7 linked regions of the Ovis aries genome follow. The main gene of each other region encodes a partner of the protein of the gene in region 6 in a complex. Links are inferred from orthologs where the notes say so. Each region holds a gene or a part of one and is shown on either strand. Other genes may lie near its edges.

The links.
Region 1: AHI1 (region 6) and CC2D2A share a complex: the UniProt entries of both Homo sapiens proteins name them as parts of the tectonic-like complex. The link is inferred for Ovis aries from reciprocal best matches to the Homo sapiens genes AHI1 and CC2D2A.
Region 2: AHI1 (region 6) and B9D1 share a complex: the UniProt entries of both Homo sapiens proteins name them as parts of the tectonic-like complex. The link is inferred for Ovis aries from reciprocal best matches to the Homo sapiens genes AHI1 and B9D1.
Region 3: AHI1 (region 6) and TMEM17 share a complex: the UniProt entries of both Homo sapiens proteins name them as parts of the tectonic-like complex. The link is inferred for Ovis aries from reciprocal best matches to the Homo sapiens genes AHI1 and TMEM17.
Region 4: AHI1 (region 6) and TMEM237 share a complex: the UniProt entries of both Homo sapiens proteins name them as parts of the tectonic-like complex. The link is inferred for Ovis aries from reciprocal best matches to the Homo sapiens genes AHI1 and TMEM237.
Region 5: AHI1 (region 6) and TMEM231 share a complex: the UniProt entries of both Homo sapiens proteins name them as parts of the tectonic-like complex. The link is inferred for Ovis aries from reciprocal best matches to the Homo sapiens genes AHI1 and TMEM231.
Region 7: AHI1 (region 6) and B9D2 share a complex: the UniProt entries of both Homo sapiens proteins name them as parts of the tectonic-like complex. The link is inferred for Ovis aries from reciprocal best matches to the Homo sapiens genes AHI1 and B9D2.

The regions. Positions count from the first base shown.
Region 1 is NC_056059.1:111,425,731-111,429,230, forward strand, and holds part of CC2D2A (coiled-coil and C2 domain-containing protein 2A), read left to right. Parts: intron 1-833; coding exon 834-892; intron 893-1,678; coding exon 1,679-1,853; intron 1,854-3,435; coding exon 3,436-3,500. UniProt on the Homo sapiens protein: Component of the tectonic-like complex, a complex localized at the transition zone of primary cilia and acting as a barrier that prevents diffusion of transmembrane proteins between the cilia and plasma membranes.
Region 2 is NC_056064.1:33,860,203-33,864,294, reverse strand, and holds the start of B9D1 (B9 domain-containing protein 1), read right to left. Parts: upstream 2,801-4,092; 5' UTR 2,781-2,800; coding exon 2,718-2,780; intron 1,368-2,717; coding exon 1,299-1,367; intron 550-1,298; coding exon 438-549; intron 1-437. UniProt on the Homo sapiens protein: Component of the tectonic-like complex, a complex localized at the transition zone of primary cilia and acting as a barrier that prevents diffusion of transmembrane proteins between the cilia and plasma membranes.
Region 3 is NC_056056.1:45,739,197-45,742,143, forward strand, and holds the end of TMEM17 (transmembrane protein 17), read left to right. Parts: intron 1-774; coding exon 775-1,053; 3' UTR 1,054-2,447; downstream 2,448-2,947. UniProt on the Homo sapiens protein: Transmembrane component of the tectonic-like complex, a complex localized at the transition zone of primary cilia and acting as a barrier that prevents diffusion of transmembrane proteins between the cilia and plasma membranes.
Region 4 is NC_056055.1:203,952,349-203,955,848, forward strand, and holds part of TMEM237 (transmembrane protein 237), read right to left. Parts: intron 872-3,500; coding exon 751-871; intron 1-750. UniProt on the Homo sapiens protein: Component of the transition zone in primary cilia. Required for ciliogenesis.
Region 5 is NC_056067.1:2,332,056-2,335,555, reverse strand, and holds part of TMEM231 (transmembrane protein 231), read left to right. Parts: intron 1-1,933; coding exon 1,934-2,062; intron 2,063-2,633; coding exon 2,634-2,777; intron 2,778-3,500. UniProt on the Homo sapiens protein: Transmembrane component of the tectonic-like complex, a complex localized at the transition zone of primary cilia and acting as a barrier that prevents diffusion of transmembrane proteins between the cilia and plasma membranes.
Region 6 is NC_056061.1:60,789,912-60,793,411, reverse strand, and holds part of AHI1 (jouberin), read left to right. Parts: intron 1-2,398; coding exon 2,399-2,955; intron 2,956-3,500. UniProt on the Homo sapiens protein: Involved in vesicle trafficking and required for ciliogenesis, formation of primary non-motile cilium, and recruitment of RAB8A to the basal body of primary cilium.
Region 7 is NC_056067.1:50,063,066-50,065,727, forward strand, and holds the end of B9D2 (B9 domain-containing protein 2), read right to left. Parts: intron 1,101-2,662; coding exon 787-1,100; 3' UTR 501-786; downstream 1-500. UniProt on the Homo sapiens protein: Component of the tectonic-like complex, a complex localized at the transition zone of primary cilia and acting as a barrier that prevents diffusion of transmembrane proteins between the cilia and plasma membranes.

The sequences.
Region 1 (3,500 bases), on a different chromosome or scaffold from region 6:
AAAGTTTTCATAGGAGAATTGTTTGCAGAAGCCTAAGGAATGGCACTGGAGAAGGCAACGGCCGCCCACTCCAGTGTTCTTGCCTGTAGAATCCCAGGGACAGGGGAGCCTGGTGGGCTGCCATCTATGGGGTCGCACAGAGTCGGGTACGACTGAAGCGACTTAGCAGCAGCAGCAGCAAGGACTGGAAGGACAGAAGGGGTAAATTATGGTATATATAGTGGAATATGTAATAGTAGTTACATGAATGAATCAATATTTATGAATCTTAGTTAAGCACACTGAAAATACCTATTTGCTATCCTCTCTAAATATGTTAAAGGGGAAAATTATATGTTCGCAGGATAAAATTACTAAAGTTTAGAAAAGTGAAAAGCAACACAGTATATTGTTTAGCAATATGAATATCTGTAGTTAAATCATGAACACATTTCACTAATTTGCCTGTCTCCACTGACTATAACGTAAACACCACAAGAGCAGGGATTCTGTTCATACGGGCTACATCCTCTTCACCTGTATAAGTGCCTGACACACAGAAGGTCTTCAATACATGTTGAATGAAGAGTGCTGAAAAAGCAAATTCAGATTGTGGTTACTTCTGTGAGAGAAAGGGTAATAAAACTGAGAAAGAACTACGCAGCACTGGAATTTATTTGTGATGCTTTACTTAAAAGTAGAGCTTAGGTGCACTGGCATCTGGGATATTATCCTAACTCAATGAAGAGTTCATAATTTTAAAAAAATTTAGAGAAGGATGTACAGCTACTAAAATAAACTGTAACTGATTCCTAAAAAATTTCTCAACTGTTTTTTTTTTTTTTCTTTTATAGCCGGAAGAGCTTATTTACCAGCGCACAGACCAGGTGGCTGCAGCTGAACTGCAAGACAGGTCACATGATAACCCATAAATCCACATGCAGTCTGTCACTAGGAGTGTTACTATCAAATGAAACAGTTCTCACCCTGGATCAGTGTGAACAGCAATTAAACTTTAATTCGTGTTTACAAAGTTCCGATGTGGTCTCTAAATCCCAAGGCTCTGGCATCAGCATGGTGTGAGCCACAGGGCAGTGAAGTCCAGCACTGATAGGTAGTTCTCCAGAAACTTCCCCCCAGATTAGAGTTCAACAGCATGCCACGCATGGGTACCGTGCAGCAATCTCACAATCCTTGGCTTAAATAGGCCCATTTTGTTCCATCAGTGGTTCAGTGAACTTCAGCTACTTTCTAAACCTAGCACATGGGATTAATAGATGATTAGTAAGAGCCTGTTTGAGGCCCATAATGCTTATCATGAACCCTGTTTTCCCAGTTTCACAAGGCTCAGAGAGGTCTGCGTACTTGTCAGGTGTTTAAGGGGCTACTGAGCCCAGCCAGACCTTTCTAGTTCCAAAGCCTGTGTGTCCTTTCTGCTGTCTCAGGCCACGGGAAGAGGTGCATGTCAAACTGTGCAGGATCACAGTGAGCCTTTTATGGTGTTATTACTAAAAAACATCAATTTACTCTCAACTCCAAATTTAAAATAAAGTTGTGAGGTCCTGAGAACAACTAATTCCTGGAAAAAAAAAAATCCTGTTTCTTCTAAAAGTTTCAAAATGCTATTTTTTTGTACTTCTGTTTACAAGGGAAAAGTCAAGTCACCCCAAAAAATGGAGCCTATTTTTTTTATAAACAGGATTGAAAAAATACTAAAAGAAAAAATCATGGACTGGCGGCCGCGCCACCTGACTCGGTGGAACAGATACTGCACCTCCATGCTGCGTCACTTCTTGCCTCTCTTAGAAAGGAACCAAGAAGACGTGGAGGACGACCACAGAGCAGAACTGCTCAAACAGCTGGGAGACTACAGGGTAAGCAGTCCATTTCGAATTGGAAAGTGCTTGGTACAATGGGCTTTGGAATCAAAACGCCTAGATTACTTCCCAAACTATTCAGATGAAGCAGCAGAGATTAAAAACTGTGAATAGAAGTTCCAAGCTCAGGAATGAACCCACCATTAAATAGCAGAATGTCTCTCTAAAACGGAAATATCACCATTTGTTTGGTAGGAGGATCCTATGAAAAATATCTTTTATAAAATCACAAGAGTATTACATAAAACAAAAATGTCTGGCTAAATCATGTTAGACTCAACTGAGCATAAAGGTGAAGCCAACCATTCTTGAGCAGACTTTAAGGATATGACTTTATCCTGATTGCTTTTCGTTGCTAAGAAAAATTCTCCTTCCTAGGCAACAGATATTCTCTGCTGTCAGCTGCGCTGTGTTCATACCCTATAGCTGGATACCAAAACCTAGAAAGCAGCGGCAAACTGAAACAGTAAGCCTCATTGGTCAACAGTATGAAGCCAAGCTGGACATTTTTAAAGCTATTTCATTTTACTTCTGGCTGCACTGGGTCTTTGTTGCTGCACACGAGCTTTCTCTAGTTGCAGCAAGGGCCACTCTAGCTGCGACGCGTGGACGTCTCACCGCGGTGGTTTCTCTGGTTGCAGAGCACAGGCTCTAGGCGCGTGGGCTGAGTAGCGGTGGTGCACAGGCTTAGCTCCCCACAGTATGTGGGGTCCTCCCGGACCAGGGACCAAACCCACGTCCTCTGCATTGGCAGGCGGATTCTTAACCACGGGACCACCAGGAAGGTCCCAAGTTGGACATTTAATTCTATTCAGTGACTAAAACTTACCCTTTAACTTCTAAGGCTAGGTTTCAGCTGCGATGCTTTCAAGTAACAGAAAACTTCTTATTTCAAACAAGCATGAGCATTAACAACCTATAGGCTTATTAGGGTAAATTTTAGGGGTAAGTAGCTATTGGGGCCATACCACATGTCTGCACGTCTTCCCTCTCTGCCCTCCTCCATGTGATGGCATCGTCCACAGACTGGTTTTCCTCATGGGAGCACAGGAATAGTTCCTGGTAGCACTCATATATGGACACACATGGGCTGGAACTGGGCTGGAATAGTTCCTGGTACGACTCACAAAGGGACACACATTGCTCCAAGCAGCAGAGAACATCTGTATGCCAGTATTTCTTACAAGTTTCCTAGATTACATACCCTCTTTCCTGTAGATCAACACTGAGGCCAGGTAGAATGTGTTAATCTACCCTAGGGTCCTGGTACTGCATGGGTTTCTTTCTATGCAAACTCGGGGCTATGATAAGGAGGAAGGGAACAGTGGAGGGTGGCTAGGTGATTAACAGGTATCTTAAACATCAAGTCAGTATGTTAGCAGTTAAAACACTTAGCCTCTCTCTATTTTCTATAATGTTAATATATAGCTGAATAGAAAAACAAAGCTAAATAAATGACTTTAAGACCCAAAAGGAAGACTTCCTACTTAGAACTGCACATACTTAATTAGGGGGAAAATACAGTGAAAACTTCACGTTCAGTAATGATTAAAATGTTGGTTGTTTTGTTTTCCTGCAGTTCTCTGGATTCCCCCTTCACATGCCATACTCCGAGGTGAAGCCTTTGATTGAAGCTGTGTACAG
Region 2 (4,092 bases), on a different chromosome or scaffold from region 6:
ACATTCATTAAGTGAGAGTGATCACAGACGACCAGGTACAGTGGACAACAAACCCTGCAGATATTGGCAAGGAGAACTTTGGGAGATCAGAGGTAGGATGAGGGCTCGGTGCCCATGGCAGAGAGAAGGGCCTACCCCTGGCTCAGGGCAGGGTGTTGGAGGAGGAGCAGGGGGGTCGGGACTGGCGGGAGCACAGTGGTGATGGACGGGGGAGAGCTGTTGAGGGGCCAGACTGCTGAGCCCCAGACACCAGGCTCTGACCTTCGCAGGCAGTCACTGCCCAAGGTTTCACGCTGGGCTTCACCGACTTCCTCAGAACCTCGGAAAGGTCAAGTGCACACAGTGGGAAGGAGGGGAAAACAGCCAGGTGTCTGATAGCACCTGACAAGGCTGGTAGAGGGCCCCATGGATGGGCAGGACGAGGCCTGCAGACTCACAGCCGTAAGGGTTGGTGCTCTTAAAGGTGACATCGATGGGGAAGTTCCACACCAGCGCCCGCCTCGCATCTTGGCTCTTGGAGGTGATCTGTGAGATGCCCTCCTCCAGCCCCTGCAAGGACAATGACAGTGACGGCCAGTGTCCCAGCTCCAGGCTGCCATGCCCACCCACCCTACCTCTGAGGTGGCAGCTGAGAGCTGTTTTCATCACCATCTTCTGCCAAACAAAGGGACCTAAGATGTGACAGAGTGGCTCCCAGGTCTTTGAGGGTTTCTATCCATTAGGACCTGAAACCTTGAGGCCCCTCCCCTCTCCCGGTGCCCAAGCTCCACCTGCACCTCCTGCGGAATAGGGTATGGTCCAGCAGGCTGTTGCCCTCTCCCCTGTCTTTCTGCCTGGCTAGTTTATTCTACAGCCTTCTACTTGGCCCATCCCCCTGCTTCCTTCAGCTCTACGCTCAGTTACCATCTTTTTTTTTTTTTTTTTAAACTGTCTTAAGGAGGCCTTTTCTGGCCTCTTCATCCCTCCCCTTCCTGCCTTCACTTTCCCCTCAGCACCGCTACTAGCCAACAGCCTGGAGCGTGAGTCTGTCTCCCTCTCAGGCAAGTGGCCCCAGCAGAGCTGGGCTGGTCTGGCTTTGTTCGCTGCAGGGCAGGGCCCAGGAGCGACCACAGTCTTAGGGGTGGATCAGGGATCTCTGCATTCTCTGCTCCGGCCTCACTGGGAACAAACTCACGTGTGTGCCACCCCTGAACTCTTAACTGGTTCTGAATTGGGAGGGGAAAGGGTGCAATGGAGCCTTCAGAAACCCCTTCAGTCACAAAAGCTGTGAGTCTGGGAGGCTGTAGGGTCCAGCTTACCGCTGTGGGGGCCCAGTCCTGGCCATACACGAAACAGTACTTGCAGTAGAGGTCGTCGTACTCAGGAAACTGTGGAAATAAGCACACACAGCTTCTGCTCACAGGGACTCATGCTGTGACCACCTGTTAGCTAGGCAGGTACAGCCACCAGCAACTCTGAACATGAGGCACCTAGGGGGCGGGGGCTGAGAGAGCAGGGTGCATGGATACGGAGTTCATTGGAAGGTCTGGTCTCAAGATGTGGGATAGTCCAGGGACAGTGCTGCCCCCAGGCTTTTGCTCAGGCTCTGACATCTGTATGACGTGCCCTTCTAATGAGAAGTGAAGGAATGCCTTCACTGGGAGTACTCCTGCTCACCCTTCAAAACTGACACTTTGGGGAGCCTGCCGACTTCCAGGTTGTTGGAGCCACATCCCAGCTTCCACAGCCCCTGGTGCTCCATCACAGCACTGACCATGTTTATTCTCTCAGCTCCATTAGACTGTGAACAAGGGACAGGTATGTGGGCTTTCTGTGTCCCTAGCACCTGGCACAGGGTGGGCACTAAGGAGTGATGCTGAAGTGAAAGGTCTAGAAGACAGGTGCTCCCAGGACACAAAGCTTGGTGGGAGCCAATGGCCTGCAGAGTGGCCTCGAGCAGAGGGGAGGAAGAGTGGGGATGAGGGGCTGCTGAGAACACAGGCACACTGACCCAGCCCAGCTGAGGCCCCTGCTGGGATAAAGCAGAACAGGAGAGGCTGGCCTTAGGCACCAGGCCAAGGGGAGGTGGACAGGGTGGGGGCATGGGGCAGTGACCCTGATGAAACAGGAAGGCGGGAGATGCCCGCTAAGAGATCCCACGGAGCTTTACCTAGACCACCTTGGTTAGTACTCACAATATAATCATAATATTTTTAAAACAGCCTGGAAAGGCAAGTCCAGCAAAGCTTTGACATCAGACAAGGTTTGAAATTCGTTTTGCCACTTCCTTTGGGCAACTTCCCATCTGTAAAATGGGGGTGCAAGTAATACCTACTTCAAATGGTTGTTGTGAGGACTGGCTGAGCGGGGCTGGGCATGAAGACTGTCATATGTCATGTCTTCCAGTAGTAACAAACGGTTCTTAGGACATGCAGGGGACTGGAAAGCACTGTCCCCTTCCGTCGGACAGACACAGCCTCCGGGTCAGGACAGCTGCCACCATCGCTGTGTCAGACCAACCCGCGCCGGAGGGAGGAGCTGAGGGTCGCGGGGTGGATGGAGGCCCCTGCCCGAATCTTCACGTGGGCTCGGCCAACTGTGGCCTCGGCCTGGCTCAACGCTCCAGGCCTTTTTCCCCACCGCACTTCGTGGCGGAGGGTCCGCGCGATCTCTCGCCAAGCCTGTCACGCTAGCTCCCTCCCCCGAGGTTCGACCCTGGAGGACTCACGGCCGCTCACCTGGGCGCTCTCCACCTGCCCGTTGACCATGAGCAGGAACACGCTGGGGCCCGCGGCCGCCATAGCCGGGCCGCGCGGTTACTAGGAGGCGCCGGGTTGCCCTGGAGACGACGGCGTGGCGCACGGGACAAGTTTCATGGAAGCGGGAGCTTCGGGAAAACGCGCACAAGGCGCGGCGCGCAAGCGCAGTCGGAGCGGCGCTGTGCGGTGGGAGGCGGGCCTCAGCCGCCTGGTCCGTCTGAGGGGCGGTCCGCCCGAGGAACCCCGCGTGAATGTAGCTGGTGGTGCGGGACCTAGGCCACCGCCCGGGAATGTGTGTCCGCTCTGACCACCGCGCTGCCGGTTGGAGTGTGTGACTGGAGCCCGAGGCCGCCAAGGGGCGGGGTCCGGCCGCGCTTCCGAGAGTCCCCGTGGGGCCAGCAGCTCCCTGCCTCGGGTCTACAGATGCTCCCTCGTGCCTTTGAGACCCTCGCCTCCCAAAAGTTTATTAGACCAACCGAGAAGGGACCTGGAAGGTCCTTAAGCCCAAGACTGCAGGTCTCCGCGTGACGCGGGAAAACGGGCCTCTGAGTGGCCGCCCCGGCACCTTGCCGGCGGGGAGGGGCGAGCCCGCGGGGCTCGGCCGTCCGCCTGCTCTCAGCGCTCCCCACTGTTCGCTTTTGCACATCGATTACTGTGATAGCTCCAGCCAGTGCCGCCTCTCCCCTGAGCCCTACGCCACGAACACCGGGTCTGGGCCACCCCCGTGTCCCGGTTGCCTGAGCACTGGTGGCAGCTAGTGGAGTGGATGGATAATTGAGTACGTCTGCTGTACTAGCTGCCAACTCTGCTAAGTCGCTTCAGTCGTGTCCGACTCTGTGCGACCCCATAGACGGCAGCCCATCAGGCTCCCCCGTCCCTGGGATTCTCCAGGCAAGAACACTGGAGTGGGTTGCCATTTCCTTCTCCAATGCATGAAAGTGAAAAGTGAAAGTGAAGTCGCTCAATCGTGTCTGACTGGTAGCGACCCCATGGACTGCAGCCTACCAGGCTACCCCGTCCATGGGATTTTCCAGGCAAGAGTACTGGAGTGTGAATACGTCTCCGTTGCTCATTATCAAAGCTATGGTTTTTCCAGTAGTCATGTATGGAGGATGTGAGAGTTGGATCATAAAGAAGGCTGAGTGCTAAAGAATTGATGCTTTTGAAGTATGGTGTTGGAAAAGACTCTTGAGAGTGCCTCGGACAACAAAGAGATCCAACTAGTCCATCCTAAAGGAAATCAGTCCTGAATATTCCTGGAAGGAATGATGCTGAAGCTGAAACTCTGATACTTTGACCACCTGATGTGAAGAACTGACTCATTGAAAAAGACCCTGATGCTGAGAAAGACTGA
Region 3 (2,947 bases), on a different chromosome or scaffold from region 6:
AGTGATAATGCCTAAAGATTTCAGTGTTCTTCCAGGCCCTTCATAATTAAGCCCCACCCAGCCTATCCCACTGTATTTTGTGCTTTTTCCTAACACAGACATCCATTCCAGGCTGATGTGTTGTTTCCCAGTCATATTCTTTCCACATTTTTGCTTATTTAAGTTCTTGCCTTTTCCTCATTCTGCTGCTGCTACTGCTGCTAAGTCACTTCAGTCGTGTCCAGCTCTGTGCAGCCCCATAGGTGGCAGCCCACCAGGCTCCCCTGTCCCTGGGATTCTCCAGGCAAGAACACTAGAGTGGGTTGCCATTTCCTTCTCCAATGCATGAAAGTGAAGTCGCTCAGTCATGTCCGACCCTCAGTGACCCCATGGACTTCAGCCTTCCAGGCTCCTCTGTCCGTGGAGTTTTCCAGGCAAGAGAACTGGAGTGGGGTGCCATTGCCTTCTCCGCTTCCTCATTCTATCTAACTTTAAAAGCCTACCTCCTTGAATTATTTCTTTTACCTACCCTGTTTACTCTGTTAGAGCATTTAGTCTATTACTCTAAGTGGTACGTACGTTTCATTATTCACTTAAGTGTAGTAATGTAGGACTGTCACATAAGGTAGTTTCCTCTTTCAGTCTAGACTGTAAGTTCCCTGAGGATAAGGACCACACTATACTTATTTTGAATTACAGAGCTCAAAATGTAGGTTCACAGTAGTATCACTTGCTTCAGCACAAGCAGAAGATGGTACTTCACTGGTCTGATGTTTGTCGTGTGTATCATTGCAGGTTCCTGAGTTGGCTGGCTTCTGGCTTCTGAGCCTTCTGTTGCAGTTGCCTTTAATTCTTTTCTTGCTCTTCAATGAGGGCCTAACAAATCTGCCCTTGGAGAAAGCAGTACATATCATCTTCACTATATTCCTTACTTTCCAAGTTGTTTCAGCATTTCTTACCTTGAGGAAAATGGTAAATCAGCTGGCAACTCGTTTCCACCTCCAAGACTTTGACCGGCTGTCTGCGAGCCGAGGAGACATGAGAAGAGTGAGGTCCTGTATAGAAGAGATTTGACCCAGTGCTGTTGAATAAGCATCTGGAGGATCATTCTAGAAGACTGCAGGAAAACACCAGAGGGCTAACACAATAAAAGGGACAAAGCAAGTGTTTTGAACTGTATCCTCCCTGGCTCTGAAATTCCAAGGCTGGACACAATGATAAGACTGTACAGCACGTGAAAGCAGTAAATCAACCCTAAAGCCTGCATGTTGTCTACCTGATGTCAAATATCTTAAATTTTTTGTTGTTGTCAATGTTTTCAGGTGTGTAGAGATCTATATTGGTGGCGTTACATCTTTACTGTAATATCTCCAGTTAGTACCTGTAACTAGAAATGTGTATATTTCTTTCACTATTGTTGGCCTATCCATGTCTTGGCAGTACGTATGAAGTATGTGGAGATGCTGGTCAGTATTCTGATGTATTAGACTACATTTGTAAACAGACACCAAATTTTCATGTCTGCTAGGGTCTTAGCTATTATACTGAGGTTAAGAAGAAAGCAGGTAGATTGTGATGATATTTAGGAAATGTTTTTATCCTAAAATTGTTATTTTCATACAGCCATGTTCAGTATTTATGGTGGTGGTGTGCAAAATGTCTTCACAATAAGTTATAAAATATTTATGTTGAGCTATCTTTAGAAATCATTCTTGTCTTTTACAGTTCTTTTGGGCTGTGGGTTTATTTTTATTATAAAGTTAAAAGAGAAAAGTACATGTATTTGAGAGCCTTCTATGTAATTTGCCACTGTCCTGGGTACATTAACCCTTATGATCTTATCTATTAAGTCATTATTCACTGAAGAACTGCTCATACCCAGTAAATTCACATGAAGATTGATCTGATAATCAGGGTGCCTGTTAATATATAGAGTTTGGATGGCCCAAAGGACTCATGATCATAAATGAGCATATTCCCTTGCTAATAGGAGAAACCTATTTAAGGAAATTCTGTTAAGAACAAAGCTTGCTTGGGTATATCTGAACCATTAATTTTAAGTGATAATTGGGTTGTCTTAAGAGATACAATATTTTCTTTCCTAAAGTATTGTATTTTATTGAGAGATAGTTGTAGCTACATTAAAAATCATTTTTTCTATCCTTCCTGTTTTGTGATTCATGCTTATCTTAGGATTTCCACATTATGCCTTATTCATTTTTATGTTGCTTAATTTTGAAAATGTTTTCACTTCCCACTGTTAATCACACCTTACTATTCTGTTTATGCTCTTTTTATTATTTCTGCTTTTTATTATTATATATAATGTTCAGTCAAAGTTTTCTTCCCCTGTACACTAACTAATTAACCTTTGCCCTATACCAAAGCTGTCACTAGGTATATTCCAATACTTTGAAATTCAAAATAGAATTCTGTTTGAATAGTTTAATAAAATGTATTTGTTCACATTTTTTTCCAGATAGATGAGTTTATAAGAAAATATAAAATAAGAACACTAAATCTACATAACAGATAAATTAAGGTGATGATCAAGAAAGACTTTTCTATTTAACAATCATTTCCAGAGTTTTATTTTAAATAGCAGAGCCTCTTGATACATTTAAACTTTAAGGTAAATCACTAAAAGTATAAAGAATAACAATAAAAAAAGTTTAATGGTTAAATGGGGGAATATATGTTTATAAAAATTTTAAAAGTTTTTGTTCTAATAATTATTGCTTAAAATGTAGATATAATGAGGGTAAGAAAAAAGAAACTAAGAAAATCAATTGAGAACATGATCAAGTCATTGGTTTTTCATAAAACAATAGAACCATGATTTTGTGTTAGTCTGAACCAACATTTTCTATTTGGTGTATATACATGGTGCTCTATGTATGCATAGGAAAATTGAGATAGGAAAGACATTTCCATGTCAGCACATTTGGAGTTTAGGCAATCTGTATTT
Region 4 (3,500 bases), on a different chromosome or scaffold from region 6:
GGTCCGTCTAGTCAAGGCTATGGTTTTTCCTGTGGTCATGTATGGATGTGGGAGTTGGACTGTGAAGAAGGCTGAGCACCGAAGAATTGATGCTTTTGAACTGTGGTGTTGGAGAAGACTCTTGAGAGTCCCTTGGACTGCAAGGAGATCCAACCAGTCCATTCTGAAGGAGATCAACCCTAGGATTTCTTTGGAAGGAATGATGCTAAAGCTGAAGCTCCAGTACTTTGGACACCTCATGTGAAGAGTTGACTCATTGGAAAAGACTCTGATGCTGGAAGGGATTGGGGGCAGGAGGAGAAGGGGACAACAGAGGATGAGATGGCTGGATGGCATCACGGACTCGATGGATGTGAGTCTGAGTGGACTCTGGGAGATGGTGATGGACAGGGAGGCCTGGCGTGCTGCAATTCATGGGGTCGCAAAGAGTCGGACACAACTGAGCGACTGAACTGAACTGATGTAATACTTTTACTACTTATATAAAATCTTCTATTTGTGTTCCTCTTCTTTAGATTCAGCTCCTAAAATATTTTATTTATTTAAATATAATATTTTACTTTTCTCAGTGGGCTTACTCTTTTCAAAGTTATCCTTAGATTAGTTTAACTAATACATTCGTAATACTACTTATCCTAGAGATACACAACTACAAGCATTTAATAAGACTTAGAAGCTGCTGTTTGGGAGCTCCAAATTAAGCATCAGGGTGTCTCTGCAGAATATTTAGAAGGACAAATAAATCCTTACTTCGTCTTCCTTCGAGGTTTCTGAATAACTGGCTCCTCATCTGGCTCCACATTGATACCGTTTTCATTTGGTAATAAAGATGGACTAGCTGTCTTCTTCTGGGTAAAGGCAGTCTCCAATTCTGAAAATAAAGCAGATTAAGTTTTTAAATAACTATGATGCAAAAAAGAAAAGTAGCATGTAAGACTTCTGTAAGACAAAAGAACTTTAAGAATTCTAATTGGCCCCCAATCTTTTTCACCATCTTATTAATTTTTAAAATTTTACACCTCTAAACACTCAACAGACAATTTGAAATCATGATGCCAAACAACATGAAAAAAGAAAAATCAAGTCATCCAACATCGAGGGTGTGTCAGAACTCCAAGATTACCTCCAAGTTCTATGATTCACTCAACGGACTCACAAGTCATTTACACTCACAGTTACAGTTTATTACAGGAAAAAGACACAAAACAAAATCAGAACAAGGAAAAAGCTCATGGAACAAAGTCCCAAAGAAACCAAGTCCAAGTTTCCAAGAGTCCTCTATCAATGAAGTCACACAGGATGTGCTAATTCTTCCAGCAACAAGTTGTAACGACATATGTGTTCCTTTCTCTTCCAGGGAAGCTCATCAGTCACTTAGCAGCCAGGAATTTTACTGGGGAGTGATCACAGAGGCACCTCGTGCCAAACACATACCAAAATTCTAGACTCCCAGAAGAAAAGCAGGTGCTCAGCATAAATCTCACTGTGAGCATAGCGCACAGTGAGCCACCCTGACAGTTTATAGAGAAAGCTTTGTATCAGTGTAGACAACTGTTGCATAGGAAGCTGGAATGTCAGGTCCATGAATCAAGGAAAATTGGAAGTGGTCAAACAGGAGATAGCAAGAGTGAACATTGACATTTTAGGAATCGTGATCTAAAATGGACTGGAATGGGTGAATTTAACTCAGATGACCATTATATTTACTACCGTGGGCAAAAATCCCTTAAAAGAAATGGAATAGCCCTCACAGTCAACAAGAGAGTCGAAAATGCAGTACTTGGATGCAATCTCAAAAATGACAGAATGATCTCTGTTCATTTCCAAGGCAAATCATTCAATATCACAGTAATCCAAGTCTATGCCCCAATCAGTAATGCTGAAGAAGCTGAAGTTGAATGGTTCTATGAAGATCTACAAGACCTTTCAGAACTAACACCCAGAAGAGATGTCCTCTTCATTATAGGGGACTGAAATTCAAAAGTAGGAAGTCAAGAAACATCTGGAGTAACAGGCAAATTTGGCCTTGGAGTACAAAATGAAGCAGGTCAAAGGCTAACAGAGTTTCGCCAAGAGAACACACTGGTCATAGCCAACACCCTCTTCCAACTACACAGGAGAAGACTCTACACATGGACATGACCAGATGGTCAATACCGAAATCAGACTGATTATATCCTTTGCAGCCAAAGATGGAGAAGCTCTATACAGTCAGCAAACACAAGACAGGGAGCTGACTGTGGCTCAGATCATGATCTCCCCATTGTCAAATTCAGACTTAAATTGAAGAAAGTAGGAAAACAACTAGACCATTCAGGTATGACCTAAATCAAATCCCTTACGATTACACAGTGGAAGTGAAAAATAGATTCAAGGAAATAGATCTGATAGACAAAGTGCCTAAAGAACTACGTGCCATTGTATAGGAGGCATTGATCAAGACGATCCCCAAGAAAAAGAAATGCACAAAGGCAAAATGGTTGTCTGAGGAGGGCTTACAAATAGCTGAGAAAAGAAGAGAAGCTAAAGGCAAACAAGAAAAAGATATAAGCATCTGAATGCAGAGTTCCAAAAAATGGCAAGGAGAGATAAGAAAGCCTTCCTCAGTTATCAACGTAAAGAATAGAGGAAAACAATAGAATGGGAAAGACTAGAGATCTCATCAAGAAAATTAAGACATACCAAGGGAACATTTCATGCAACGATGGGCACAATAAAGGACAGAAATAGTATGGACCTAACAGAAACAGAAGATATTAAGAGGTGGCAAGAATACACAGAAGAACTATACAAAAAAGATCTTCATGATCCAGATAACCATGATGGTGTGATCACTCACCTAGAGCCTGACATCCTGGAATGTGAAGTCAAGTAGGCCTTAGGAAGCATCACAATGAACAAAGCTAGTAGGTGATGGAATGCCAGTTGAGCCATTTCAAATCCTGAAAGATGATGCTATGAAAGGGCTGCACTCAATATGCCAGCAAATTTGGAAAACTCAGCAGTGGCCACAGGACTGGAAAACGTTACTTTTCATTCAAATCCCAAAGAAAGGCAAGCCAAACAATGTTAAAACCACCGCACAATTGCACTCATCTCACATGCTAGTAAAGTAATGCTCAAAATTCTCCAAGCCAGGCTTCAACAGTACGTGAACCATGAACTTCCAGATGTTCAAACTGGATTTAGAAAAGGCAGTGGAACCAGAGATCAAATTGCCAACATCCACTGGATCATCTAAAAAGCAAGAGAGTCCCAGAAAAACATCTAATTCTGCTTTAAGCCAAAGCCTTTGACTGTGTGGATCACAACGAAGTATGGAAAATTCTTAAAGAGATGGGAATACAGACCACCTGACCTGCCTCTTGAGAAATATGTATGCAGGTCAGGAAGCAACAGTTAGAACTGGACATGGAACAACAGACTGGTTCCAAATTGAGCAAGGAGTATGTCAAGTCTGCATACTGTCACCCTCCTTATTTAACTTATATGCAGAGCAC
Region 5 (3,500 bases), on a different chromosome or scaffold from region 6:
GTGGCACCCGCACTGCCTGATGTCGGCACATGGTCTACTGACTTACTCTCTGCCTCCCTGGCTGGGAATGGAAGCTCCGCTGTGGTGGGGACTTTGTCCATTTTGTTTGCCACTCTATTCCCAGAACCTGAAGCAATGCCTGGCACCTCTGGCACATAGTAGGCCCTCAGAAAATATTTGCCAGGTTAATGAGCGGATTTAACAAGCAGACACCAGTTATGGTGCTGTACCAGATCTCTGTCCTCTGTGAACCTGGAGTAAAAGCATGCTGGTTTTTTTGCAAAAAGATCTTTCATAACCAACATCTGCTCCTTGAGTTTAAGTCTGGACATTTTAGTCCTGGAAACAGGACCAGATTTGAAGTCAGATATGTGGCTTCATATCCTGTCTTTACCAATACTAGCTGTACTCCATAAATCCTTTAATCTCCCTGAGACTTGATTTTCTCACATATGCAATGGGAATAGTAGTTGCTCTGCTTACCTTTGACTGATTGTAAAGGTCAAATGAAATGTGTCTCTCCCTCTGAGACTGTCTGAGAGTCCAGATTCTTCTGGTATTTCCCTCCTGACCACTATCCTTCCTCTCTCAAAAGTTGTTGATCTTTGTCTTCCTGTATAACCCTCAAGATCCAGAAAAGTTATGGATCTACCACAGAGAGGTAACCTGACTTTGTCTTCCAAGTCTTCCCAGATATCAGCTGAAAGAAAAAATGCTCAGGAAGACAAGGCAGCCTCTTTTCCATCCTGCTCATAATTGCTGATACATAATTGCCTCGGTAACCTGATCGTCAGCCCTGGTAACAGATATCCCTGTGCTGCACCTGCAAAGCCGACAGAACGAGAGAGAGAAAATAGCATCCAACAGAAGAGAGAGGGTAGACTTCTCCATAACAAGGCCCAGGATAAGGACATTATTGTCTAGAAGGAAAGAAATGATTGAAAGGTTCTGAAAACTGAGATAACGCCATCTCAAGCGACCTTATTAGCCTGAGAAAGAACAAAGAATCTCTTCCCCCACATAGAGGTATGGAGGAGAACCACATGACTCAGTAGATGGGGAATCGGGGGGAATATGCTGATACACCATCGCAGAGTCCTTCTGGGAGCCTTCGGAAAGGATGAGTTGTAACAGCGAGGTCCAGAGTTGCACCACGGAATCATGTCCCCAGTGATCACATCTCAGTGACCGTCTCTCCTGCTCGTCCTCTTAGGGTCACTGTGAGGCGAGACTGGATTCTGGCGGTTTTTTGTGAGCTATGATCTGTCTTTCTCCCTCCTTGGATCTCTGTTCTCACTGCCTTCATGTCACTAATTTATAAAGTACCTATGGAGTCTTAGTGCCTTACTGATTTTACTTTAGCTTTCTTTTCCATTGTACTGATTGGTACTACAAGATACACCACATTTTAAAGCCCTGACATCAGTCCAACGTTGAGAATCTGAAGCAAAGACATTGTGGTTAAAGAACATATAAACAGAGCCTGGTGTTTTTCTGCTGAGTCTGTTTGGGAAATGCAGAATGATTGGGGTTTTTTCGAAATCTGTTCTTAGGTGCTATTTAAACCTTCCCTATAAACTCAGGCATATTTCTTAAAAGGAAAGAAAACACCAGCAACAAACCAAAAAAGGTCAAATGAGACAACTGAAAAAGAATAACGCTTCCAGATGTTGCATTGCTTTCATTGCCGCTTCCAGGTCCCAGCCAGTTTGGCCCTAGAATATTTAGAAGTGCGAGTGTGCAGTTCAGGGGCCCTGTCTCTTTCCCCAGTATTGATCCACCTATAACTATTCCATGTTCTCTTTCTTCTTTCGGTGAGAGATGTAATGCCTGTGTGTGGCAGAGTCACTGTGTATGTCCAACGTACTCCATGCTGTGGAGTCCTCCTGGACTTATTAAGGACCAGGGTCATCAGCATTTTTGGGTTTCCTAGGCCAGAGAAGAAGACAGGAACCAGGATGGGAAAATGGACATGTTGCACTTTAAACTGGAGCTTCCCCTGCAGTCCACAGAGCAGGTTCTAGGTGTGCAGCTCATCCTGACTTTCTCCTACCAACTGCATGTGAGTTACCTCCCTTTTGTCTTTACTTTTTTCGTAGTTTTTATTTTACCTATTTATTTTTTGGCTGCGCATGTGGGGTTTCTCTAGTTGTGGTGAGTGGGGGCCACTCTGGCTTGCAGTGCGAGGGCGTCCTTGATTTGGAGCGCAGCTCTGGCTTTAGTTGCTCTGCAGCACGTGGAATCTTCCAGCCCAGGGATCGAACCTGTGCCCCTTGTATTGGCAGGCAGAGTCTTATCTACTGCACCACCAAGGAAGTCCTCCCTTTTGTCTTTCAATAGAACAGAGCCCCCCTTTCTGATTTCTGGGAAAACTCGCACTGCAGAAGACTCTTTGCAGAAGTGTCATTTAGGATTTAGCTGCCGAAGTTAAATTTGAATGTTTTTCGCGGAGGCCACATTAATTTCCATGAGCTATTAATAGCTCCAGGGGTTCTGGGCAGAGCGCTTCCTGCATGGCTAAGCTCAGCACTAGGGGGACGGCTTAGCTTCAACCACAGATGGGTGATGCTCAAAACCCGCAACCATTCGGCTCTGACTGAAATTGATATGGTCTCTCTTTCTAATGATTTCAGAGGATGTCTACATTCGTGATGCAGAGCATGGCGTTTCTCCAATCCTCCTTCGCTGTTCCGGGGTCCCAGTTACATGTGAATGGAGACCTGAGGCTGCAGCAGAAGCAGCCCCTCGGCTACAGAGGCCTGGACGTCCGGTACAACGTAGGGACGCTTCACACTGCCGATCTCTTTTGCTACTGTATTGTATTGTTTATCAAGCGCTTTGAAGAGGGAGCAAGTAGCATTGGAAATAGCACTTCTCTGTGAGTGGCACAGAAAAGGATCTCTGAGGAATTCTTTCCGTGAATCCTTTCGAAATATGGTGACAGATATCTCTGTTTACATCTTCAAAAAAGAGGGAGAAGAATCTGTGTCTTTATCTAAGAACTGGATTATTTATAGTTTTGGGGTTTGCATGCACACGCAGTGTAGTTCACATGGTCTTTCTTTGCTAAGCTTATAACAGGCCAGCCCCGAGTTAAGAGGTTTAACTACATCGTCTCATCCAGTCATCGCAGCAGCCTCATGAGACGCCTTCTGTTGCCGTTCTCCGCTCTCCAGCGGCTTGTCCTGTCACTGTCCCCCTTGCTCCTTTCCAGCCCCGGGGTCCATTTTGCTGTTCCTCAAACCTACGAAGCAGCTCCTGCCTCAGGGCTTTTGCGCTTACCTTTTCCTCTACCAAGTACCCACATCGCTCACCCTACTGCTCCGTCTGGCCCCTGGTCAAAGCTCCTGAGCACAGTCCTTGCTCGACACGCCTTCTAAAGACCATCCACCTGACCCTCCATCATCGCTCACCCAGGTTTACTCTGCTTACCTTCACCTGAAATATGAAAGGGAGGTTTCCAGTTTGTTCATTTGCCGTCTCCCTCATTGGTAAAGGGG
Region 6 (3,500 bases):
TTATTTTTAAAAACAGACAAGCTAAAGTAAAAAATGATGCAGAGATGGTAAAGATAAACGGATGGTTAAAGATAAATAGAACATGAACAAATGTATTTGAGAGATTGTAAAATTCAGTGACAGTCCATGAAATGTGAAATTCCATGAAGTAGACTTTTTATAGTATGACAAAACTAGAACAACAAAACTTTTAAATTCGTAAATTACTTGGTAATGTAAAATCTATCTCGTGAAGCGATTAGCAAGAAAAAGGGAATACAAACCACAAAAACAGGAATTTAAAAGGTACTGAAACTATCATCTCAATAGAATTGTGGAATGCTACCAAAGGTGCTCTAAGGATTGTATTTAAAATGATGTTATTAGTACAAAGGTTGACAGATCAGTGGAAGAGAATAAATAAACCTCTTATGAGCTTCACATGATGAGCTTCCCCAGGGTTTTCATTTTCAAAATCCTTTCGTCTAGACTATAATTCTTTCTTCTGTTTCTAATTTTTGGTTATCTTTTTCCATTTATTAGTGTCCTCACGGTTTACCTTGATTGCCACTACATTCCTGGTACTGAGAAAACAGAAAAGTTAGCATTTGCTCTGTATTGATGTAATGGAAATTCAAGGTTATTAGGTATGACTGTCTTCAGAGAAAGGAGACAAAAGTGAGTTTCTGAACAGATTATCATTGATTTTCCTTGTGTGAGGCAATCTAGGATTGAACTTTGGGTTTTCTTTTTTAAGTAATTTCTGAATTTTTTTCTATTTTTAAATTTTCTGTTTTCTTACTGTTTTATGGATATATTGCTTCTAGAAACAGGATATGTGAAAATAAACCTTTAAGAAGATATTTTTATTAAATTTGATTAGGAAAGATTTTTGGAGGCTATGGCTTCAGAATTTATCCTTAAGGATTAGGTAGAATGTGGAAATATATTTTAGGTGAGCAGAAGAGTCTTAAAGATGGTAAAATATTGGGTATGTGGTGGAATACATTTTTCCATCTTTTCACGTATATTAGATATTCTAACTACTTTGAAGCATGAGGGTTTTCAATAATTGAACTTCAGTCTTCACTGGTTCCGTCATTTCTGGGAGAATTCTCTGACTTCAGTCTTTTATCCCTATGGTTTTAGCCATTCTGTTTTTGAACGCATCCCTTCAGCTTTTATTTCTGTCACTCAAAATTTTAGTTCTAACATCTGCAGTTGTTTTCCATCTCATATCTTTTTGAGTTTCTTAATATTAATTCTACTTATTTTAAATTATTTTGTTGATGCTGTTTGTTTTTCTTCCATGTTAATTTTTCTGTTTTATTGGAGTTGGTGGACTTCTCGATGCTGCTGCTTTCCCTCAGTGTCAGTTCTCAGTTGTTAATCATCTTTGTGTTTGAGAATTTTTTTCCTGCCTGTTGGTTGTTTTCAACATAACCCGCTTCTGCTGGTGGTGAGGGTTGTGCCTACCTGAGACAGGAAGCCATATGTCTAATCTGTTCAGCTGTTTTGTTCTCTGGGTGAAAGGCACCGTGTAACACAGCTGGAGGAGGGGAACAGAGCTGCCCTCCCAACTCTTCAGTTGGTCATCCTCAGGCTTATCCCTTCTTCTCGTATTCCTTGCCTGAGGTTATGGCTTCCCCAGAACCAGCCTTTTCTCTGGAGAAGTCTTTTCCTACAGTCTGTGGTTTTCTCTGGTAGTTTCTTAATGGATTTCTTAATGGATCTAATCCTGCCTGTTTTGCATCCTTGGGGAATTTCTCAAAATATTTATTTTATTACTAGTAACATTCCTTTTTGATTTCTAGCATTATTTTCTGTTTATTTCTTATTTTAAATAAGTTTGAATGGAGAAAGTTATTAATACAAGTATGTGCTTAGTCTGTCATTTGATTTAACTTGATAATATTTAATACCTAGCAGCCTTTTCAGTGAAATGCTTAGACTAATTGCACAGTAATCCTAGAGCTGTAAACCTTTGGTTTTTGAATTTAATTATGAAGCAAGATAAACGACCTGTGTGTGTTTTCTATTAGAGAACATGAAATACTTTAACCATAGCTCTTCTAGCAATTTCACTAATATCTCTTAATTAGGTTGAAATATGGATCATTTTGCCAGAGGAAAGTAACATTTGAGATTTGAGCAGTTAATTCACTTTTAAAAAGTCATTAACATGTTCCCCATGTTAGTTAACTCCTTTGATCTGAATTTATTCTTAAGATTGCTGGTCTAAGACTGGGAGAATAAGCAGGAAAACGCTCACCTAAGGCCCTAGAATGGTGTCACAGTGCTGGAGTAAAAAGTGAAATATTCTTTCCAGTATTGCATATTGTGAAACAGTCAACATGATTTTATCTTCACAGAACTAAACTGTGATTAGTTGACACTCTGTTATTGTGTCTTTTCCTAGCTTGATGCTGTTACAAGCAGTCTTCAGAAAATCAGGAAAACTGAAAGTGATGCTATAACTGCTGCTAACACTAAGAACCCAGAGAACAGTAAAACAATAACTAAAACCAAACCGAGAGATCCACAGCCAGCAACTGAAGACCCAGAAAATGATGTTCGTGTGGAGGATGACAAGCAAGAAAAGGCAAATAAAAAGGTTACGAAAACCGCGCTCCAGGTGACTGCACGAGAGACGGAGCCAGAAGCTCCTGAGAAGGGAGATGCGACGCCTCAGAAAACACGGACTAAGCCACAGCCAGGAGTGGCTCGTGACAAAGGTGGAAAGGCCAAGGAGGAAGGAGAAGACAGTGGTTTGGATGAGGAACAGCTGATGCAGGTATACCAGCTCCAGGTAGCTGAAGAAATGGCAAAGGAGATTAAGAAGAAAATCCGAAAGAAACTCAAGGAGCAGTTGTCTTACTTTCCCTTAGATTCTTCATTGCATGATGACAAATTGAGTGGTGAAAAACGAAAGAAGAAAAAAAAGAAAGTTCCCACCTTGTCTAAATCTCAAACAAGGTATGTTACATTGATAAATATACAATGTCCTCTTAAAAAAACACTATTTTCAGCTTTTGAGTGATTCCTGGAGTTTTGTTACTAAGTCCAAGCTCATAGAGCTTGCCTCATAAAAGGCCAGTAATTGTGAGAGACCAGTTGTTGGGGCAATGAATGGCAACTTTACTCAGAAAGCCAGCAAATTCAGAAGATGCTTCATGCCCCAGATAACCATCTTGCCTGAGATGGAATTCAGGCTCCTTCTGAGGAGGAGGGAGTACTAAACACTAAAAGGAGAGGGAGTCAAGTCAAACACTTTCTGGTTCCCATAAGCCTCCAGAGAGGGTCTGTTCATTTCTTTCTCTCTGCAGTCACTCACAGGTGGACCTGGTAAGGATGTTTCCTCTGAGCTAAACAAAGGTATTTTAGCTTAATTTTCACTACTTGGGGAGCAGCGTTTCCAGAGATGGGCCATTATGTATAATTTAAGCACACAGGCAACATCCTTTTAGTGATAAACTTGTAATAGAATACAAAAGGTTCTTGCTGTTAACAGTTCGCCCTGT
Region 7 (2,662 bases), on a different chromosome or scaffold from region 6:
TCCGCATCTTGCGTGGGCGGGCTCCAAGGGGGGTCCCTTAAGCCCGGGGGGAGGGGGCGGACACCCGGCTCCGCCCCACCAACAGGGTGCTGCCTCCTGGCGGTCGAGCGCTACCGAAGCGGGCGGCAGTGATGCTTGTGGGTTTGAGGACTGGGCCGGGGGTCAGCGAGAGCATAAAGACCTACGTAGTGCGGAAGGCTCAGAGAATGGGGACCCAGGATACAGGGACTTCGAGGTGGACTGCCCTGAGTGGAGAGTGGGAAACCGGGGCAGAGGGGAAGAGGGTCAGCCAGAAACTAAGGAGCCACTGGGGAAAGGGGCACGGGGCGGGGGGAACCTCCAACGAGTGGGGGCCCTTAAGAGCATCACCCAGAGTGGAGAAGGGGGTCAGACGCTGAGGCAGAGGGCAAGGGAAGGGGGCTTGAGGAGGGTAACAGTAGGAGGAATCCCCCCACCCCCGGCCCACGTCTGACAGATGAAGGTCAAAAAAGCACCCACACTTGAAAAGCACTACATCTTTATTGAGCCCTTCCACGTGCCAGCAGCTTCTCTGCACCCAACCCCTGTGAGCCCACACACCTACTAGCCCATTTTACAGATGGGAAAACTGGACCTGGGAGGGGTAGCCACTGGGCTTGAGGTGCTAGTCAGGTTAGAAGCTGCACCAGCCTTGGCTGGGTCTGGCCTCACAGTCTCCAAAGCCCATGCTTCTGACCACTGCACCATCCTGCCCCTTATGGGGTGTCCCAAGACATGGCTGGGGGCCAGCCATTCTTATAGGCTCCTTCAGCATTCAACCCCATACCGATCAAAGTGGCGCAGCAGCAGGCTCAGCTCAAGGTGCACAGTGCCCCCGGAGGTGGTGTGCAGGCGATAGCGGTCAGCCCCACTGTAGATGGCATCTCCATGCAGCAGCTGAGGCCCGCCGCCCACGAAGGCCCTCGCCAGCTGCTCTCGCCAGCTGCCCAGGGGCCGCCACGTGGGGCAGTCCAGCTGGTGGGTGCCTGGACTGCTGGGCACATGGCAAAAGCCATAGCCTGCAAGCTGGCAGCGGCCGAAGCTGTCCTGGGACCACACCTGGAGATGGAGCCGGGGCCAGCCTGCAGGATAGGGGGGAGGGTGGAAAGGTGAAGGGGTACAGTCCAGCCTCTTACTCCTGAAGACCCCCTGCCAGGTTTCTGCCCCACCCTCCTCCTCTGGACCACCACAGAGCAGCCAAAGGGATCTTTCTGAATCCAGGTTCTTCCTCGGCTCAAAACCCTTCCATGATTCCCTAATGCTCTCAGTATAAAGTCCAACCTCAACATTCTAGACCCTTGAGGTCTGGCCTCTGTTGAATTCTCTGTTGGCCTTCTCCTCTGTGTCCACATATCTGGGGAGCCCAGTCCCCAGGTGAGGGTGGTGGGCCTGGTCCTGGATGCCTCCTTCCTTCCCTCCCCATGGCCACACCCTGTCCTCTTTCCTGGCCTCGGGGCCTTCTTTCTTGCCTTCATCATCTTTCACCTGGCAGCTGGAAGCATCTTTCTCCCCTTTCCATAGATTTCTCAGTTCCTCACTCAAGATACAGTTCAGCTCCTCACCCTATAGGCAAAGTGCTTGGGAGATCCAGCCCCATTTCACCCTCCTTTTTGAGTCTCTCTGAGCTTGGCCCTGTTCTAGAAGCTGGGGATACAGCAGTGAACAGGGCAGACAAAAATTTCTGCCCTTGTGCAGCTGACATCTTAGACAACCAACACAGTAAATACGCAAATTATAGGGTATGTCAGATGGTGATAACTGCTCTGGAGAAAAATAAGCTGGGTAGGGTGGGAGTAGGTAGGCATGCAGTTTTAGAAGGCGGTGATCAAGAAAAAATTTACTGAGGTGACATCGGAGGCAGTGCTTAAAGGAGGGAAGAGACTGGGGGCTATATGGCTATCTAGGAAAGAGTGCTCCCAGCAGAGGGGACAGCTAGTGCAAAGGCCCTAAGGTGGGAGCTGCCTGGTGGGACTGATGTGGCTGGAGCAGACGGGGAAGGGGAGACAGAACCAGATCAAGCAGGGCCCTGTCCTTCCACGGTAAGGCTTTGCCTTTTACCTTGAGTGATGTGGGGACCACAGAGGGTCCTAAGCAGAGGAGGAATGTGGCCTGACTTAGGTGTTCACAGGAGGGACACCTCAGTAAAGACTCTATGGTAACAGCCTAGTGAGAGGTGATGGGGGTCGGGGGAGTGATGACATTCAGGATGCATTCCAAAGGGGGAGCTAATGGGATTTCCTAATAGAATGAGAAAAGAAACAGCAAGGATATTTGGGATCCTTAAGAGCTGAAAGGACTGTGGCCTGCCTCACCTTCCAATCCGTCACCTGTGAGACAGCCAGAGGGATCTTTTTTTTAACTGCAATCTTTTTTTTTTTTTTCAAGTTTATTTATTTGTTTGGCTGAGTCAGGTCTCAGTTGTGGCACATGGGATTTCTGTTGTGGCACTAGGGCTCCAGAGCCCATAGGCTCAGTAGTCACGGGGACCCAGCTGCCCCACAGCATGTGAGATCTTAGTTCCCTGACCAGGGATAGAACCTATCTCCCCTGCATTGGAAGATGGATCCTCAACCCCTGGACCACCAGGGAAGTCCCCAGAGGGATCTTTTAAAAGCAAAATCTGACTTGTCAATCACCTGTTCTG